Linked DNA regions of Xenopus tropicalis. The protein of the gene in region 2 purifies or fractionates together with the protein of the main gene of each other region. This does not show direct contact. Links are inferred from orthologs where the notes say so. Each region holds a gene or a part of one and is shown on either strand. Other genes may lie near its edges. The genes, in order: otub1 and foxm1.

Region 1 (4,349 bases), on a different chromosome or scaffold from region 2:
TTAGCAAAGTTATACTGGCAGTGATACTTTTCGCTAGTCTGAAATGTATAATACTATCACCCTGGCAAAAATACAAATTAATCTTGAGGCAAGACTCTCTATACTCTTTCTTCTTCCTGCTTTCTTTCTCTAAACTGTTATTTTTTTGTTGTTAAAATCCTAAATAAAAACTTTATAAAAACTTTAATTTATAAAAAAAAATCTTGAGGCAAGAGTTTTATTAATATTTGTAACTTCCTCTTCAGGCACTCTCCTTTTCATCTTGCAGTCTGCAAATCACTGCTCGCTGCTAGTATAAGCATGACCCTAGCAACCAGATCATTTAAATCCCAAACTGTAGAGGTATGGAACAAAATGTTAAATAGTTTGCAAACCAGAAAGAATTAAAGCTTCAGTTGCAAGATGTCTGAGAACAGACTGGTGCTTTATATTGGGCCCTGTGAGGGGCTCTTTGTGCCCTGGAACTGTAGGGCCTAAGCCCAGGCATGGTGGGCAGAAATAAATTCCAGGGTAAAAAAAAAAAAAAACAAATCCACAAAGAATGAAAAGATGAAGACAAAATGTAAATTGTGTCAGAATACCACTGTAAACAAAAAGTTAATCTGATGGTGAACTACCCAATGAAGGGTGATATAACACTGGGCAAATTGTGGTAAATTGCATTCATCGTTAGGTAACAAAGTGTCCTTAAAAAATACCATTTCCACAAACAAGAATTAGCGCAGGTAAAACATATATATTGTGTAATCAGCCAAAGTGCATAAGGGGGCAATTTCATGTGGTTACGCATTTCATATCACCCATGGTGATGAAGGGTGCTCCTTGCCTCAGGAGGCTGCGCCCAGTAGGTTACCAGGGGCTTATTAAGTTTCTCTGATGCTAAAAGGGTGTGTGGGGAGGAGGTGAGGGAGGCTACATTGGGAAGGCAGCCTCAGAGTGACATTGGTCCCAAATTTGCCCCTGACAGTGATTCTTGCTGTTACCAAATGCAATTTATTTTAGGTGCTTTGTTGTCTGTGAGAGAGGCGATTTCACATGGACTATAAAGTATACAGTGTGCCATTACCCTAAGGCAGGGGGGAGCAAACTACGCCCGCGGGCCACATTCGGCCCATTGGTCTTTTTAATCCGGCCCGCTGACTCCACAAGTCTTGTCATGAGAGACTTGGTGTCAAAGGACTGACGAGCGGAAATGGCGTAACGCTGGCTCGGCCTGTCTGTAAGTCAATGTGGCCCCTGAGCCGAGAAGTTTGCCCACCCCTGCCCTAAGGGCAACGATACATGGGGAGATTTTGAAAAAAGCCTGATCATGGTGACAAATCGCCAAAGTTCCCTTTCCACAAGGTCCAAGTAGCCACTGGACTCTTTTTGAGCGAGTAGCCACTATACATGGCAACTTGTATATATGTGCGTGTAACGGGAAGTGTGGTAAAAATCATGGCAACTAATCTCTCCATGTGTCACTGCCCTTAAGGAGAACCAACCAAAAATAAGCAGGGAATGCTGGTTTGTTGTAACTGAATTCCCCAACCCAGTGATATTCTTTGAAAAAAAAATATTACCATCTAGGGTACCCTTGTGCTTCTGCACAAAATATGGTCGAACACGCTGCACGATTATACTTACCGAGAGGCGCCTAACAAATCAGCATCCCTAGGAATTCTTTTGCCTCGCCCACCTTTATGATTATTGTATTGGACATGGGGGATAGAGAGTTGTCAACCTGACATCTAGGCTTTCCAGGGGAACAGAAAATGTTCCCCCATACCTGGAAGTGACATAATGGACGTCACGCAGGCCTCTCGAAGCGACGGCATGCGCAAAATCGCTGCTGAAGCTGAAAAATTCCCCCACAGACGCACAAATGCATCAACTTACGTCACTGAACGCTTACTATACATGCATGCATCAAATTCACTTCAGGACTTCGGCAAAAATGGAAAAACACTGCTGGGGGACTGGAGAAATCGTCTGACTCCCAAAGAAGTGGTGGAGGGGGGGGCTTGACAGCTCTGGTGATAGCAGCAGATGTGTCTGTCACAGTGGTACCTCCATTCTTGGTGCATTTAATAAAAAATATATATAGATTGAGATGACAATTAACTTAATCAGCTCCAGGGAGAGAATGCATGATATCAGATCTGATATCTCCTTCCTTAAATAAACAAAGCCCTGTAAAGACGTACAGAGCAGATAGCTTTAATGCAAGCGGGCTGTGCATTTCCATATGAATCCCATGGCCCCTGTGTGTGCCCCTGTATATGGCCCCTGTGTGTGCCCCTGTATATGGCCCCTGTGTGTGCCCCTGTATATGGCCCCTGTATATGGCCCCTGTGTGTGTGCCCCTGTGTATGTCCATATGTCCCTGTGTATGGCCCCTGTGTGTGTCCCTGTATGTGTGTCCCTGTATATGGCCCCTGTGTGTGCCCCTGTGTATGGCCCCTGTGTGTGTCCCTGTATGTGTGTCCCTGTATATGGTCCCTGTATATGGTCCCTGTGTGTGCCCCTGTGTATGGCCCCTGTGTGTGTCCCTGTATATGGCCCCTGTATATGGCCCCTGTGTGTGTGCCCCTGTATGTGCCCCTGTGTATGGTCCCTGTATATGGCCCCTGTGTATGGTCCCTGTATATGGCCCCTGTGTATGGTCCCTGTATGTGTCCCTGTATATGGCCCCTGTGTGTGTCCCTGTGTATGGCCCCTGTATGTGCCCCTGTATGTGCCCCTGTGTGTGCCCCTGCAGCCTGTACCCGCACCTCTCTCCTCCCTCCCACTCCCCGTTATACTGTGAGAAGCCGATAGGAACACGCAGGTACACCCCGCAGCCACTAACTCTCTCACCGTCACAATCACTTTGCTGCTGCCGCTCAGATTCTTCCGCCGCCATATTTCCAACCGACCGCCGCCACTCCAATCACTTCCGGGAGACTACAAACCGGAAGTCCCTCCCTAATTTCATAGCACAGCGCCGGATGAGACGGTTCCTATAGTAACTGTTCGCTAGTTTATAGTAGAATAAAGCGCTCAGCCAGGCGATACTAAGCAGGCTGTATTAAGCACGAGATAGTTGAATACCTTTAGTGCTATGTATACTTCATTGGTTATATGTGGTGCTAGACTAGTCTCCTGTAATACTCACTGAGCTTTCTATGTCACCAAGTGTTCCTTACTTTAAAGGGGAACGTCAGCTTCCGAACTAAGATTTGTTAGAGAGCCCCACACAACACACAAAATATAATATACCTATTACTGTAATCTGTTTCTTCAAAAAAGTATGACTAAATGCCATTTTTATATAATGAAATCCAGCTGCAAAACAATCTTCCCTTTCTGTATCATTTGAAAATCCTGCCAGGGGAAGAGGGACTAAAACACTGATGTTACAAATTGTAACATCACCACAGCTTACACATAGCATGCAGGAAATACATAACCCACAATGCATTGCACTTATTGATGTGTGCAGGGGATTGTGGGATTTGGAGCATGCAGGCTGAAGGAGGAGGACAGTCAGTTACTGTTATATTGGTTTGAGTAGTCAGATCAGCAAGTCAACAGGGGCCAGGCTTTGTTATAAACCACAATATTACATTAAAATCCTGTAACTGGTGGGAACCCTGGCTAACATTTATCAACAACTTTCATACACAAACCCGTTGACATAAGACCCTATAGAACCACTACTCTAAAAAACTAACAAGTCCCTGATGACATGTTTTATCTTTTATTTGCTTCTATTCTTTCTCAAATGTATTTAAAATTAAAAGTAATAACTTTTGTTACTCCTGACCTCACAACCTGTTTGTAAATGCAGATCATTTCAAATGTCCTTACCCTATTCCCTTCTTTTTTTCTGTACCCCATTTTCTCTGAAAAATCAAAAATAAAGAATATATAAAAAAAAAATCCTGTAACTGGTGCACGTTTTAATTGGTGTATATTGCAAAGTTCCTTGAAATTATCTTTACTTTTCAAAAAGCTTAAGTTGTGTTTGGGTGGTTTTCCCCTTTAAAGCACAGTCAGGTTTTTCCACTGTCAGTGGACTATTTAACTGGTGAAAACTACACAGAATTAGTCAATGAACTTGTGGAGCAAAGAAGGGTTGCTACCCGGCTGGCGTTTTAATAGCCTAGTCATTAAGAATGATGCTTATAATTTGCTAAGGGAATCAGTGACCCCCATTTAAAAGCTGCAAAGAGTTAGAAGAAGAAGGCAAATAATAAAAGAACTATAAAAAAAACCACAAATAATGAAGACTAATTGAAAAGTTGCTAAGAACTGGCCTATTGGTGTGTTCAATAACATACTAAAAGTGAACCACCCCTTTAAGAGCAACCAAGGGTATAGTTGCA
Region 2 (4,399 bases):
TTTTTGGCTTTGCCTGTAAAATCCCACTGCCTTATTTTTAGATTCTAAATCCTTATACTTGCTGCTGGTACAGGTATAGGACCCATTATCCAGAATGCTCGGGACCAAGGGTATTCCGGATAAGGGATCTTAGTTGGGATCAAGTACAGGTACTGTTTTATTATTACAGAGAAAAGGGAATCATTTAACCATTAAATAAACCCAATAGGGCTGTTCTGCCCCCAATAAGGGGTAATTATATCTTAGTTGGGATCAAGTACAGGTACTGTTTTATTATTACAGAGAAAAGGGAATCATTTAACCATGAAATAAACCCAATAGGGCTGTTCTGCCCCCAATAAGGGGTAATTATATCTTAGTTGGGATCAAGTACAGGTACTGTTTTATTATTACAGAGAAAAGGGAATCATTTAACCATTAAATAAACCCAATAGGGCTGTTCTGCCCCCAATAAGGGGTAATTATATCTTAGTTGGGATCAAGTACAGGTACTGTTTTATTATTACAGAGAAAAGGGAATCATTTAACCATTAAATAAACCCAATAGGGCTGTTCTGCCCCCAATAAGGGGTAATTATATCTTAGATGGGATCAAGTACAGGTACGGTTTTATTATTACAGAGAAAAGGGAATCATTTAACCATTAAATAAACCCAATAGGGCTGTTCTGCCCCAATAAGGGGTAATTATATCTTAGTTGGGATCAAGTACAGGTACTGTTTTATTATTACAGAGAAAAGGGAATCATTTAACCATTAAATAAACCCAATAGGGCTGTTCTGCCCCCAATAAGGGGTAATTATATCTTAGTTGGGATCAAGTACAGGTACTGTTTTATTATTACAGAGAAAAGGGAATCGTTTAACCATTAAATAAACCTAATAGGGCTGTTCTGCCAGGGATCAAGGGATCAAGTACAGGTACTGTTTTATTATAACAGAGAAAAAACAAATCAGGTTTAAAAATTCTGAATTATTTGATTAAAATGGAGTCTATTCGGAGCTTTCTAGATACCGGGTTTCCGGATAAGGGGTCCCATACCTGTACGTTAGCCAAGCTCTGAGTGCTACAGTCATTAGTCTCTGCCTCCTGTCATACCATGAGTTACCCACAGATGGCGCTCCCAACATGACGGCTCCGATTCCGTTTAAAACAAACAGGTCCAATCAGCATGTTCCCCACCAATCAATTTGTTATCCACAACTGCACCCACAACCCACCGACAGCTACAAACCCTTAATAAGCGGACAGGTAGCCCCCGAACATTCCGGCCCAGCGCTGTAATATCCCCTTCTTTCCGGGATACGTTAGGGCTTCTCTCTTTCCCCGACACCGATTGGCTACGGCGAGCGTTCTATAACTCGCTCATTATGATTGGCTCTTTGCCAAAGGAACTCGTTGATTGATTGCGCGATTGGTCGAGAGATGCGTGACGCGCTAGGGACGCGCTGTGGATTGGTCGATGTGGTCACGTGGGTTTAAGCGGGCCCGAAAGCGCGAAAATTCAAAAACCACGGAAAGGCCCGATATTGACACCGTCTTATAAACAGGTATTTAGATCGGGTTAGATCGTCATCGGACGTGAAGTTGGGGCTGTGTGTGTATGAGGGTGGGTGCAAGGCTTGTGTAGAAGGAGCATGGAGGCCTGTGGGTGTAGGGGGTGTCAGTTCTCAATATGGAACTGTCATGTTCCACTCTATGGAAGCCGCTGTTGTTCAACTACAACCCACCTGTAATGTCTTAATGGTCTTTTGGGGGAGGGGGTGTCCTGCAATGGTTCAGCCACATATTTTATATATATATATATATATATATATATATATGGGCCCTATCTGCCCATGGCAACTTTATCTCCCAATTGTGAAAATGTATCCTGTTTTCTGGCTTTAGTGCGCCCATATAATGAGGTTGTTGGGTTATACAATGGCTTTGCCTTCTGTCTGCCTCACCCTCCTCCTCCATCAATTCAATGGGTAATGAGTGACCTATTCAGTGAATGAGGAGGGGACAGGGGCTTTAACAATCAGTAAAGGGGGGTGCTAGAGCCATTGTCGCTCACTCTGTAGCAGTGCGGGTGTTATTAGGGAATTAGTATAGGTTGGAAAATAAAGTTAGAAACACACGAGAAGGGATCTCTAACCCCCTTGTATCACATATACAGCAAGAACCTAACAGAATAACGTTCTAGCTGGTCCAGTTCTCCTTACTAACCAATCAGAGCAGCAGGGAGTTCATTATGAAGGATGCTGTACCATAAATGCCTGTAATCCTTCCTCTTTGTTCCATAGCCCCAAGCAAATCATTCTATGCATCAGCTGCTGTATTGCTGGGGGGTCCCGCAATGGGTCAGTAAGGCCACTTGCCCAGCTACTGTATATTTGGGCACTATCTGCCGCTGGCACTGTGCTAGTGATGAAACCACGCAGCCATGGCAACTTTATTTACAAATTGAGGATATTTAACATGTTTTCTGGCTTTAGTGCAAAAAAAGGGAAAGTTGTGCTGACCATTACATTTTAAACCAGGGGGTCCTCAAACTACGGCCCCCCACGGGCATTTACCTACCCCTGCTGTGTCCTCACCCCTGGCTACTACCTGTCTGCCTCAGCGTGGCCCTCGCTGGACACATTAGCATCGGCGGGTGTGACAGGGTAACGTGATGCAGCCAAGGACCACGCTGAGGCAGGCCAGTTATAGCCAGGGGTGTGGGACAAACTATAGTCTGGCCCCCCAACAGTCTGAGGGACTGTGAACTGGCCCCCTGCTTAAAAAGATTGAGCACCCCTGATTAAACCATTAGGCAGAGGTGCAATAAAGCTGTGACTGCAAAGTTCATATAGACAACAACAACAAGAGGTCCTCTGCACTCCCCCATTATTAATATATACAGGTATGGGACCTGTTATCCAGAGTGCTCGGGACCTGGGGTTTTCCAGATGTTTCTTTAATTTGGATCTCCATAACTTAAGCCTGCTAAAATCATTTAACCATTAAATAAACCCAATAGGGCTGTTCTGCCCCAATAAGGGGTAATTATATCTTAGTTGGGATCAAGTACAGATACTGTTTTATTATTACAGAGAAAAGGGAATCATTTAACCATTAAATAAACCCAATAGGGCTGTTCTGCCCCCAATAAGGGGTAATTATATCTTAGTTGGGATCAAGTACAGGTACTGTTTTATTATTACAGAGAAAAGGGAATCATTTAACCATGAAATAAACCCAATAGGGCTGTTCTGCCCCCAATAAGGGGTAATTATATCTTAGTTGGGATCAAGTACAGGTACTGTTTTATTATTACAGAGAAAAGGGAATCATTTAACCATGAAATAAACCCAATAGGGCTGTTCTGCCCCCAATAAGGGGTAATTATATCTTAGTTGGGATCAAGTACAGGTACTGTTTTATTATTACAGAGAAAAGGGAATCATTTAACCATGAAATAAACCCAATAGGGCTGTTCTGCCCCCAATAAGGGGTAATTATATCTTAGTTGGGATCAAGTACAGGTACTGTTTTATTATTACAGAGAAAAGGGAATCATTTAACCATGAAATAAACCCAATAGGGCTGTTCTGCCCCCAATAAGGGGTAATTATATCTTAGTTGGGATCAAGTACAGGTACTGTTTTATTATTACAGAGAAAAGGGAATCATTTAACCATGAAATAAACCCAATAGGGCTGTTCTGCCCCCAGTAAGAATTAATTACAAGGTACTGTTTTACTTTTACAGAGAGTCTATGGGAGACAGGCTTTCCGTTATTTGGAGCTTTCTTGATAACGGGTTTCCAGGTAAGGGATCCCATACCTGTAATCATGATAATGCATTTATTCTCCCGGAAATAGCAGCTTTCTTTTAATAGATGTTGGTTTTAGGGAGAAAAGTTAATTAGTATTATTTGCTTATAATGGAGTCTATGGGAGATGGCCTTTCCGTAATTCGGAACTTTCTGGATAAGGGGTTTCCGGATAAGGGATCTCATACCAAAAACAGGGATTGTCTGTCCATATATTCTGTGCATTGGTAGCTTAATGCACAGAATGTCTTAATGTTCTATATATATATATATATATATATATATATATATATATATATATATATATATATATATATATATATATGTGTGTGTGATAATGGGGGAGTGCAGAGGGGCTCTTAGTGCCCCCATATAATGAAGTTGTTGAGTTATACAATGGCTTTGCCTTCTGTCTGTTGTTCTGGGAGGAAACAGATCTCTAAGACCCCCTAGTAGCGCACATACAGCAAGAACCTTACAGAAGGACCAGTTCTACATTTTCAGCTGGTCCAGCTCCCATTACAAACCAATCAGAGGAGCAGGGAGGTAATTATGAAGGATACTGTAAGATAAATGCCTGTAATCCTTCCTCTTTGT

The links.
Region 1: the proteins of foxm1 (region 2) and otub1 purify together in Homo sapiens (affinity purification with western blotting; 4 studies listed by BioGRID, with this or other methods). This does not show direct contact. The link is inferred for Xenopus tropicalis from reciprocal best matches to the Homo sapiens genes FOXM1 and OTUB1.

Annotation. Positions count from the first base shown.
Region 1 is NC_030680.2:36,046,118-36,050,466, forward strand, and holds the start of otub1 (ubiquitin thioesterase OTUB1), read right to left. Parts: upstream 2,956-4,349; 5' UTR 2,885-2,955; coding exon 2,839-2,884; intron 1-2,838. UniProt on the Homo sapiens protein: Hydrolase that can specifically remove 'Lys-48'-linked conjugated ubiquitin from proteins and plays an important regulatory role at the level of protein turnover by preventing degradation.
Region 2 is NC_030679.2:10,383,147-10,387,545, reverse strand, and holds the start of foxm1 (forkhead box protein M1), read left to right. Parts: upstream 1-1,455; 5' UTR 1,456-1,550; intron 1,551-3,738; 5' UTR 3,739-3,797; intron 3,798-4,399. UniProt on the Homo sapiens protein: Transcription factor regulating the expression of cell cycle genes essential for DNA replication and mitosis. Plays a role in the control of cell proliferation. Also plays a role in DNA break repair, participating in the DNA damage checkpoint response.